2 separate regions of the Mus musculus genome follow, and region 2 is reported to be linked to region 1. Evidence: microRNA targets listed by miRTarBase, many of them from high-throughput screens and not tested one by one. Region 1 holds a microRNA gene; the other region holds the end of a gene's coding sequence.
What was found. Region 1 holds the annotated microRNA mmu-miR-146a-3p (CCUGUGAAAUUCAGUUCUUCAG, at 1,977-1,998, opposite strand). A microRNA usually pairs through its seed, bases 2 to 8, with sites in the 3' UTR of a target mRNA and lowers its output. Matches are read on the target gene's strand: a 7mer-m8 pairs with bases 2 to 8, a 7mer-A1 pairs with bases 2 to 7 and ends in A, and an 8mer does both.

Region 2: the mRNA of Notch1 is a reported target of mmu-miR-146a-3p. The part of its 3' UTR that is shown has no 7-base or 8-base seed match.

What each region holds. Positions count from the first base shown.
Region 1 is chr11:43,372,423-43,377,495 of GRCm38, forward strand. Mir146 (microRNA 146) reads right to left here and starts at 2,039; the gene lies at 1,975-2,039.
Region 2 is chr2:26,455,018-26,460,090 of GRCm38, forward strand. It overlaps Notch1 (notch 1), which reads right to left. Exons shown (of 34, transcript NM_008714.3): 34 at 2,885-5,073. The coding sequence ends at 4,514. 0610009E02Rik (RIKEN cDNA 0610009E02 gene) reads left to right here. Exons shown (of 3, transcript NR_152209.1): 2 at 2,656-2,763; 3 at 4,205-4,373. Among named protein-coding and RNA genes, the nearest start is that of 0610009E02Rik, 12 kb to the left of the region's middle.

The sequences.
Region 1 (5,073 bases):
ATAGCTCCAATTATCCCTAGGAGGGGTTATTTAGATCGAGTTACCCCTGGAGGATGCCTGTGAGGTGATTAAGTTAATTGATGTAAGAAGAGCCACCATAAAGTAGGGTGGCACCCTTCCCTGGGTAGTGTCCTGGACTTCATGCAAAGGAGAAAGTGAGCTGTGCGCATCTGCTGCTCTCCACGGCTTGTCTGCCGAGGTCATGTGGCCAGCAGCTCTCAAGCTTCTCATGCTATGACTTCCTCCATGATGAACAATACCCTTGAACTGTGAGCCAAAATCAACCATTATTTTTGCCAGGCCATTTTATCATAATAACAGGGGAAAAAATCCTTTTGTTGATGTGTCTATATTATGGAGATGAGGCTTGGTAAGATTCACTGAGATCGTATAGGCAAAGCCCTGGATTTAGGAGTCGATGCACAGTAAACACCTACGTTCCTCAGTTGAAAGACTGAGCATGTGGGTGCTGTACAGTCCCCCATCTCATGCTACCTCCCTCTCTTTTCATTCAGAGACAAGAGTAAGAAGGAAATCCCAGGACACCAAGACGTAGTGATGAGTCAAAGAGGAGTTCCCAAAGCACAGGGCACATTCCTAATTCCCCACTAATTCAAAAGCTTAATAAAGTCCAGATAATCAGCAGCAGCAAATCAAGCCCAACTCTCAGAAGAGACCCAACATGCTTGGTGACAGAGGTCTTTATTGCCTCTCTACAAGGACCTGAGCCCCATCATTTAATAGACTATATGTCCAAATAGACTTTCTAAGGCTTCTTAATCCTCATCCCTGGAAGAAACTGTCAGTTACAGTGGAGTGTAATTACAACTTCTTTTGTCTTGTTTGGAGGTACAAAAGAACACTCTACCCCTTGTTTGCTTAAAGTAGGCAAGAAAGCACAGGTTCAAATAAAAGGGATGAGGGGCTATAAGAAGGATGTGTTCTTTATCCTTTTTTGCTACATATCTGAAAAAGCAGCCAAACACCTCAGCAGACCATGCTAAAGGATAATTGCCACATACAATTAATTCCATCTGGTCCCATAAAGAGACTGGGAAATCACTGCTTGGCAATCCTGTGTCTCTCAAGCTTCATTAAAGTGGTGTTTCCCATGAGTCTCCTATAACAGCATGCATAGCACTTAGTCCCCTTCATACCTGACTCATCCTAAATCATGGAAATGTAAACAAGAGTCACAGCAGCAAGAACCACTCAGTGAGGCTATTTATAGGATGCTTCGCTTTTCCCAACCGGAGGAGGAATTGCCATACTATATTGCTTAGCACTGTCAACCTGACACAATCTTGGATCATTTAGAAAGAGTGTTAGTGAGGGATCATCTCGATCAGGTTGACCTATGTATATCTGTGGATGGATATATTGATTATATTAATTGGCATAGGAAGATCCAAGCCCACTGTAGGCAGCATCATTCCCTAGGCAGGTGATCCTAGACTCTTTAAGTGTAGAGAGGGGGTCAAGTACAAGTAAGCATATATATTTTTTCTCTATTTTTTTCCTCTTTGTTGAGACACAATCTCACTATATAGCTCTGGCTAGCCTGGAACTTGCTCTGTACATCAGGCTGGCCTACCAGAGAGCCACCTGCCTCTGCTTCCAAATTTCTTGGAGTGAAGGTATGTGCCACAATGTTTGGCTCTCTTTTTCTTCTTGACGATGTATGAGACGAGCTGCTTCAAGTTCCTACTTTGTCTTCCCTATAATGATCAGCTGTGACCTGGAATTATAATCTAATAAACCCTTTCTCCCCTAAATTGTTTTTGTCAAGATATTTTATCAGAGCAACAGAAATGAAATTAGAACACACATCAATCCAACATGACTCCCTCCGGTGCCAGCAGTTCCACGCTTCACCCCACTCTCTCCACTCTTCAAGTTCCTTGGCAGACTATGAAGGCCTTCAGAGTTTGTTCCAACCAGTGTTCTTCAGGTCCGTGATGACAGAGCTATCCCAGCTGAAGAACTGAATTTCACAGGTCTGACATTGATATAACCCATGGAATTCAGTTCTCAGAGCTGGGGATACACACAGACTCTCCAGATGAGGCCTTCCTCCCAGGCCAGATCCTGCCAGCCCTGTAAAAACACAAGAGAAATCTCTGATAAATCCAAAAGCACGGCCTCTGCAGACTGGACACTCTTGATGCATAAGGATCTGGGACACAAGATAGGCAAGTTCATAAGCAATCATTAAACATGCTGGGCATGTGGTGCAAGCCTGTAATCTCAACATTCATGAGCCTGCAGCAGGAGAAATGTCAGTTTGAGGCCACCCCATAATCCCAGCGAAGAAGAAGGTGCATCAAGAGGACTGCTGGTCCAAGGGCAGCCTGAAGTACGTAGCAAGATTTTCTCAAAAGCAATCAGGAACATGACAGATGGTCTTTCCGTCCCCACTGTGCCCTCATACATGTGCCCCTGGCCTGGAAAACTGCCCTCAACGCCTATTCCTCCTGAGGCTCTCACCTACTGAATCACCTCCTCAGCAAGACCATCAATAGCAGAGATGACTGGATTGTCACCCTGTGTCTCTTCTGTGTTCACCGAACCCACCACCCCTCCCCCCCACACACCGTGTACACACACTCCTGGCACAAAGGCCCCATTTCCTAGAGTGACCCAGTTCTACATGGAGACAGAGCGCACAGTACAGCTGCACCCACACCATGCAATGTGGGCCATGCACCACCCATGATAGGGCAGGGCATGGCACTAGATGATCTTTGAAACTGTATTTCTTCACGTCAGCAAGAGCAGGACCTTCCCCTTTTCAAGCCACTGCTATTTAGGCATCTGTTAGAATCATTGAGTGTAATAGCCTCACTAATACCTCGTCTCCGTTCCCCAGTGATACCTGCCATTCTCCTGTGTCATGTTCAATCCTTCCCTTCATAGTTATAAACTAATTGATAGAGCCTTTGATGTCATTGTTGATAAATACTATCTCCCAAACAAGACTATATTTTCACAGGGGCAGAGCCCATGCTAGTGCTTTTTTTTGAAAGTATATAAACAACAGCTCGGCAAAATGGAGCATTCCTGTAACCCTAGCACTCTTGAGGTTAAGGCAGGAGGATTTCTGTGAGTTCAAGGTCATCCTGGGTAGCATTATGGGTTCCAGACCAACTAGCATTATAGAGTAAGTCTCTGAACAAAAGACCCCCCTACAACAACAAGTAATTTTTTTTAAATAATTGTAACTGTTTCTTTGAAATAGAACTCACGACTATACAATTTACCTACTCATAAAGGATAAAACTCAATGGCTTTCAATATTACCATGAAGTTGTTTGATAGCCACCATAGTTAATCTAAGAATGTTTTAATCATCCCTAAACTACATGCTAATCACATTTACTCCTGACTTCTATACCCGACCTCTAGGCCATGTAAATACATATTATTTCCACTTTTCCTAAATATTTATTTTTTATTGTTTATTTTAAGTATGTGTAAGTGTGTGTGTGTGTGTGTGTGTGTGTGTGTGTGTGTGTACATGAATGCAGGTGGCAAAGGAGGCTACAGAGTCCCCCTAGAGCTAGATTTACAAGTTGTTGTGAGCCACCAACATGGGTTCTGGGGAGCAAACTTGGCACCTCTGCAAGAACAGTCTGTGCTTTTAAACACAGCCCCCTCTCCAGCCCACCTCTGCTCTATCTCAACTACAAATGCTTCTAGGGCCATTCCCAGCTCTGTGCTGATAGATGCTGTCATTTCTCTTGACTCTGTAACTCAGAGTAGATGGTGGGGTTCCATTACATCCATGTCTCTTTAGAGAACTCTCACACTCTCCACTAAAGCTGCTCCACCATTTGACATTTCCTCCGCCAGGGTCTGGGGGTTCCTTTCTCCACAGCCTTGCTATATGGCCTGACTTTTTGATTGTAGTTCTCCCAGCAGGTACAAAGCGGTGCCTCACTGTGGTTTTGATTTGCCTCTCCCTGGTGGCTAATGAGGTTGCGCACCTTTTCATCTATTTACTGCATTTGCACAGCTACTTTGTTCAGACAAAAAAAAAAAATTCACATATTTTGCAACTTCTAAACTGGGCTGTTTGTCTTTTTATCATTAAATTATAAGAATTATATTCTAGATATATCATATGATTCATATTTCCAGGGGGGGTTCTGACCCTATAAGCTCACTTTTAACTTTTTTCATGTCGGAGTAGGGAGTAGGTGTTGGTTCCATAATATTATTTCCAGCTTCTAGAACACACTTGGATCATAGACACAGTCCAGAAATTTTTTTTCAAGAAAGGAGACAGAGTAAATGCTATCCTGGGTTCTTAAATTCATTTTCCTACACCCTCATTCCCATGGTGTGCATCAAAGTGAGATGAGTCACCTTCATTTGTGCCCATTTCATTTTTTATTTTCCAGCCTGTGTGCCTTCACAAAGCTCCTGTGTGAGCCAGACTCCAAAGATGAAAGATGGTATCATCTAATTCCTTCTCTTTGGCAGCTTTATGAGCATATGAGACTTGAGCAGGTAGGATGCCTCCCACAGCATGCCAAGTGCCCTAGGAGGGGACCATGATGCACTTTGAAAAGCCAATCGCATTGATCCAGCGACAGCTCTCCCTCCACCTCCACCGGCTCATCACTCACCCACAGAGTACCGGAGAGGTGAGGCCAGATGCTGGGGATGCAGCAAGACCAAGGCTGCCAGGCCTTTGCCCCACCCTCGTGAGATCTCACAGAGAGCCATACCAACAATCAGGTTCACTCGTGATATGTGCCTCCAATGAAAGCCTGAAGATGCTCTGAAGAGCCAAGGCTCCCAAAGACCAACACTGAAGGAGATGCCCTGAGGTAAGTACACTGTGGTCTGTACAAAACAGTCAAAAGGAAAGATGCATAATATGGAAAGTCTGATAGGATGTGGCCCACATACTTCTAGATGAGAGCAGACCAAGGGAGGCTCGGGCAAACCATCCCGGCCAGCCTTGCCTGGGACCTCAGGGCTCCTCTACAGAATGTGGGGAGAAGTGTGATCTGACTGCATGACTCAAGTATTCCAGCTCAGCTTGATGTACAGCTAGAAAATATG
Region 2 (5,073 bases), not on the chromosome of region 1:
CCTTCACAGTGCCATGCAGCCTTCTGCCTTAGACGTACACAGTGCTGGACTATCCATGCAAAGTCAAATGTATAGGCATTGTCAGTCATACCCATTTCCCTGGACCCAGGAATGGCCACTCTGTTCTCTGTCTTTGTGGCTTTACTTACTGAGGACATTTCATAAAGATGAAATCATGTGGTCATTTTTGAGATGTCTTTCACGAGCCCTGTGTCCTCCTGCAGCTCACCCACATGTTAGTAGGTCTCAGAGCTTTGTTCCTTCTAATGGCTGAAAAATACTCCACTGAATGTTTACTAGGGTAGATACAAAGAGAGGTTGTGGGGTTGGCAAGTCCCCAGAGCTGTACCTGGCAAGCTGGAGACCCAAGAACAGGCAATCTTTCCGTGGGAGCCTGGAGGGGAGAGGATTCATGTTCTGCCGCAGTAGGCAGGATCCATCCCCTCTTCCCTGACCTTTTGTTGTTTGGTCTCTCACTGGAGAAGATTTGCCCACATGGGTAGGCCCTTGCTTTGATCTGCAAACATCAATGTTTTTCACCCCGAACCCAGTCCAGATGTGTTCTCAGTGGTCCAGCCATCAGTTGTGAACCCTGGGCTGCACATGCCATTGTGGATGATGCTCTAGAGAACACCCAGGCATATGAGCCTGCTAAGCCCTTTCCGAGCTGACATTTCCATTCCGGATGGAATTTTGGAGATGCTAGTTCTCCGGGCAGAATTCAGGCTCCGACCTTCCCCTTGAGGGCAAGAATGAGACAAGTTATCACAATTCTGTGTGTGAGCACCCCTTCTGGGCCCCTGGGCCCCCTCCGCTTTCACAGTGTGCAACACTGAGCCGGGGCAAGACATCTGAACTTGATGGATTCACACTTGTCCTCAGATGTCAGGCTCAGAGAGGGCATCACATTCCCCATTGTCACTTTGGTTAGAGACTCCTGCTGTGCTCCAAGGTGTGGGCCAAATGGAGAGGCCTAGGCAGGTGTCTTAGTCAGGGTTTCTATTCCTGCACAAACATCATGAGCAAGAAACAAGTTGGGGAGGAAAGGGTTTATTCGGCTTACACTTCCATACTGCTGTTCATCACCAAGGAAGTCAGGACTGGAACTCAAGCAGGTCAGGGAGCAGGAACTGATGCAGAGGCCATGGAGGGATGTTCTTTACTGGCTTGGTTCCCCTGGCTTGCTCAGCTTGCTCTCTTATAGAACCCAAGACTACCAGCCCAGAGATGGTACCACCCACAAAGGGCCCTTCCCCCCTTGATCACTAAGAGAAAATGCCTTACAGCTGGATCTCGTGGAGGCATTTCCCCAACTGAAACTCCTTTCTTTGTGATAACTCCAGCTGTGTCAAGTTGACACAAAACTAGCCAGTACAGCAGGCCAAGGGAGATCCACACCTGTGCTATTATGATTTCTTCTTAGGGCTAAGATGCCTTTGTACCTGCTGGGCTCTCGGACTAGATGAGTGTTGCTAAAATTCCTTCCCAGGAAGAGACAACACTTAACCCTCCTCCTAAGGTCCTAGGCACCAAAGCTGACTAGGGCACCAATGGATTTGCAGCGCTGACAAGAGCAGAACATAGGTAAAGGGTTACTTACTGAGTCCACATTGGAACTCTTTACTTGTAGCTGTTTGTATTACAAATGTTAATGTTCCCCCGAACTGCACAGGAAGGTCTACACATAGCTTTTGGGAACCTGTCCCCAGTGGGTTCTGATTGGTAAATAAAGATACCAATAGCCAGTAGCTGGGGAGGACAGACAAGGTGGACCGTTTAGGACTCCTGGGCTTGAGACTTGAGGCAGTGGGAGAAGGGAGAGTTGGGGAGAGGAGAGATGCCATGCCTGGGAAGAGTGCAGGACAGAGAGGCAAGGCTACCACCTGAAGGAGCTGGGAGAGCATGGCCTAGAAGGCTGCCCAACTTGGTCTAGATCAGCCACGATAGAACATAGAATTAGTAAGCAGGAATTCAGAATGGGGAGACAGAGTCTTAGCAATATGGAGGCTAGGCAGCTACCCAGCTATTGTGCTGAATAAGACATAATAAAATATAAAGAAAGGTTGTGTGTCTTTCATAAACCATTGAGTTGGATAGTGACCTGCTGCCAGGATTTATTAAATGAATTTTTTTTTTTTTTTTTTTTTTTTTTTTTTTGGTTTTTCGAGACAGGGTTTCTCTGTATAGCCCTGGCTGTCCTGGAACTCACTCTGTAGACCAGGCTGGCCTCGAACTCATAAATCCACCTGCCTCTGCCTCCTGAGTGCTAGGATTAAAGGCGTGTGCCACCACGCCCAGCCTTTATTAAATGAATATTAATACAACATTTACCCAGCAGGGATAAGGCTTTCCTCACAGCCACATAGATGGAGTCTCTCCACTAGTCTTCCCAGACTATATACTCTAGTACCTCCCTGAGGTCATGCACAATTAGGGCAGGACTGCATACAACAAAGTGACTGGATCATCAGGCAAGGGTCCTTTGAGTCCCATGACCTTCCCAACTCTTTGAGGGGGTCTATAAGCAGTCAACAAGCACAGCTGGGATGACCTTTTGCAAGGCATGGCTGAATTTGAAGAGGTTGGGGGTTACTGGGCTCAGAGGATAGTCATCTATGACAACATAAGGTGCCTTCACTCCTCTGCTGCTCACAGGAATACAGCTGGCATCAATCAGATCCACATCCCTGAGAGGACTGCATCAACTCTTTTGGAAACTGTCTTCCCACCTTGATGCCCTGCGCTGTGCAGCTTCTGAAAATGGTGTGTCCTTATGGCAACCTCTGTATTTCTGTGTAAGAGAGGGTTTGGATTTGGTTATTTCAGTGCTGGGTGGCCCTTTCTCTGTCACACTCCCCAAAAAGTGAACCAAACCACACTCCAAGTTTAGCAAAATGTGGACAACCATCAGTATCATTTTTATTGCAAATTAGTTAACAAAAAAAGATGAAAAAAATACATCATTTTCATTACCTACAGTTTTGCATGTAGTTTTTTTTTTTTACGTTTCTTTTTTTTGTAAACTACACTTTATTTTATACAACACAGTAAGAATCAACATCTTAGGATGCGTCTGGTCATATCTATTAGGCATGGCACAGACACTGCCCCCCAAAAGGCCAGAAAGAGCTGCCCTGAGGAGGTGGGCAACTGCCCCCGAAAGCCCCCAGCACACAGTGGCTGGAAAGGGACTTGGTGGGCAGCAGATGGGCCATCCTGGGTTGTGCTCTTAGGAGCTACTGGTTCGGCAGCTACAGGTCACAAGGTCTGGGTCACACTGAGCTAAGCCACAGTCTGACAGTCCTCATCAGCTTGACACACGACACACTTGTTCCTTTAGATTTTTTAAACAAAATCCATCTTTAAACATGTATTTACAGATACTTATTCTGCCACAGGCGTATACTTGATACTGCAAGAATCTGCTGTGAGCACAGCCCTGAACCAGGAGGGGTGGCCCAGAAGCAGGCTCCACCCACATTCCAGCACACTCAAGGCATGTCCCCACCCAGGCCAGTTTGGGGATCAGAGGCCACATAGCTTCTGTTTTCTTGGAGTCTCAATGCAGGCTACTCTGGCGAGTCCACAATGCACATTGGAGCCCTTTGGCAGTCAGGTGTTAGGAGCCCAGGCCCAGGCCGGGACAGTCCGTCTGTCCTCAGTTGGATTTGGATGATGCTGTTTGGAGGGATGCACAGAACAGTCCAGGCAGTGTTTTCTCTAGGAGGCACCACACCCTGCATGGCTTACTGGCTCAAGTTGTCAGGAAGGGGACAGTGGGGCAGGGCAGGGGAGAAGTACTCCCAAGGCCCATAAACACTACTACAGAACACTGGAGCCTGCAGACTCACGACTGGTACTGGGTAGTAGACTCTGCACATGCTGAGGACACTTCTTCAAGTCCACACTGGTGGTTACAGAAAGTGTACAAACCACATCATCTGACTTGTTTCCTGTTTTAGATACAAAACTAATCCATGAACCCAAGGTTCAAGGTCTGGGCGTGTTTCTAAACACATCTGCAAATCCCAGGTGACGCTGGGGGGAGGGGCAGTGAGTGTGGGGGAGGGGCAATTCTGGCCATGGCAGTTTCCAGCTTCCCTTCTCCTGTCACGTTCTTTTTTCTTTCTTTTCGATTTTGGAAAGAAGCAATCAATAAATAAACAGCATTTACAAATCATGAATCCTTGTTCATATTTTACAGACACACAGGGAACTTCACCCTGACCAGGAAAATCAAGGCTCTGAGAACTAGTTTATTTTCTTGGAACAGATATGTTTTTCCCTAGTGCCATAGAAAACAATACATATAAATAAAAAGGCAGTGTTTCTGTGGAAAATAAAAGTACATAAATAAATACTAAAAAAAAAAATGGAAATTCTTGTCCTCTTATTTTGTATAAAAACATTTTTTAAAAGGCTCCTTTGGTCGCCCCAGCATCCTGAAGCACTGGAAAGGACTCCCAACAGGGCTTGGGAACGGAAGCTGGGGTCCTGCATCCCACATCTCTGTTTATTTAAATGCCTCTGGAATGTGGGTGATCTGGGACGGCATGGTGGTGGGCGGGCTGGAGATGCCCTCGGACCAATCAGAGATGTTGGAATGCGGGGAGGAGCTGGACCACTGGTCAGGGGACTCAGGGGATGGGGTGAGGAAGGGGTGCTCTGGCACCTGCAGCTGGTGGCTGGGGGTGTTGTCCACAGGGGAGGAGGAGTAACTGTGCTGGGAAGGAGGGGTCAGGAACTGGGTAGTGGTCATGGGTGGGACCATGGAGGATGGCAGTGATGTGGGCAGGGCCTGGCTTTCCTGGGGCAGAATGGTGTGCACAGGCAGACTGCTGGGGCCCAGCGGTTGTACATCTGCCTGACTGGGCTCCCCACTCAAGAAGCTCCGGCCCAGGTGCCCATTGGCTGCCGAGCTCACACTGAGGTGTGGCTGTGATGGTGGCTGCAGGTTCTGAGGCTGGAGCTGTAAGTTCTGTGGCTGCACCTGCTGGGTCTGCACCAGGTGAGGCTGTGTTGCCAGCCGTGTGTTGGGCAGGCCCTGGTAAATAATCGGGGACAAGGTATTGG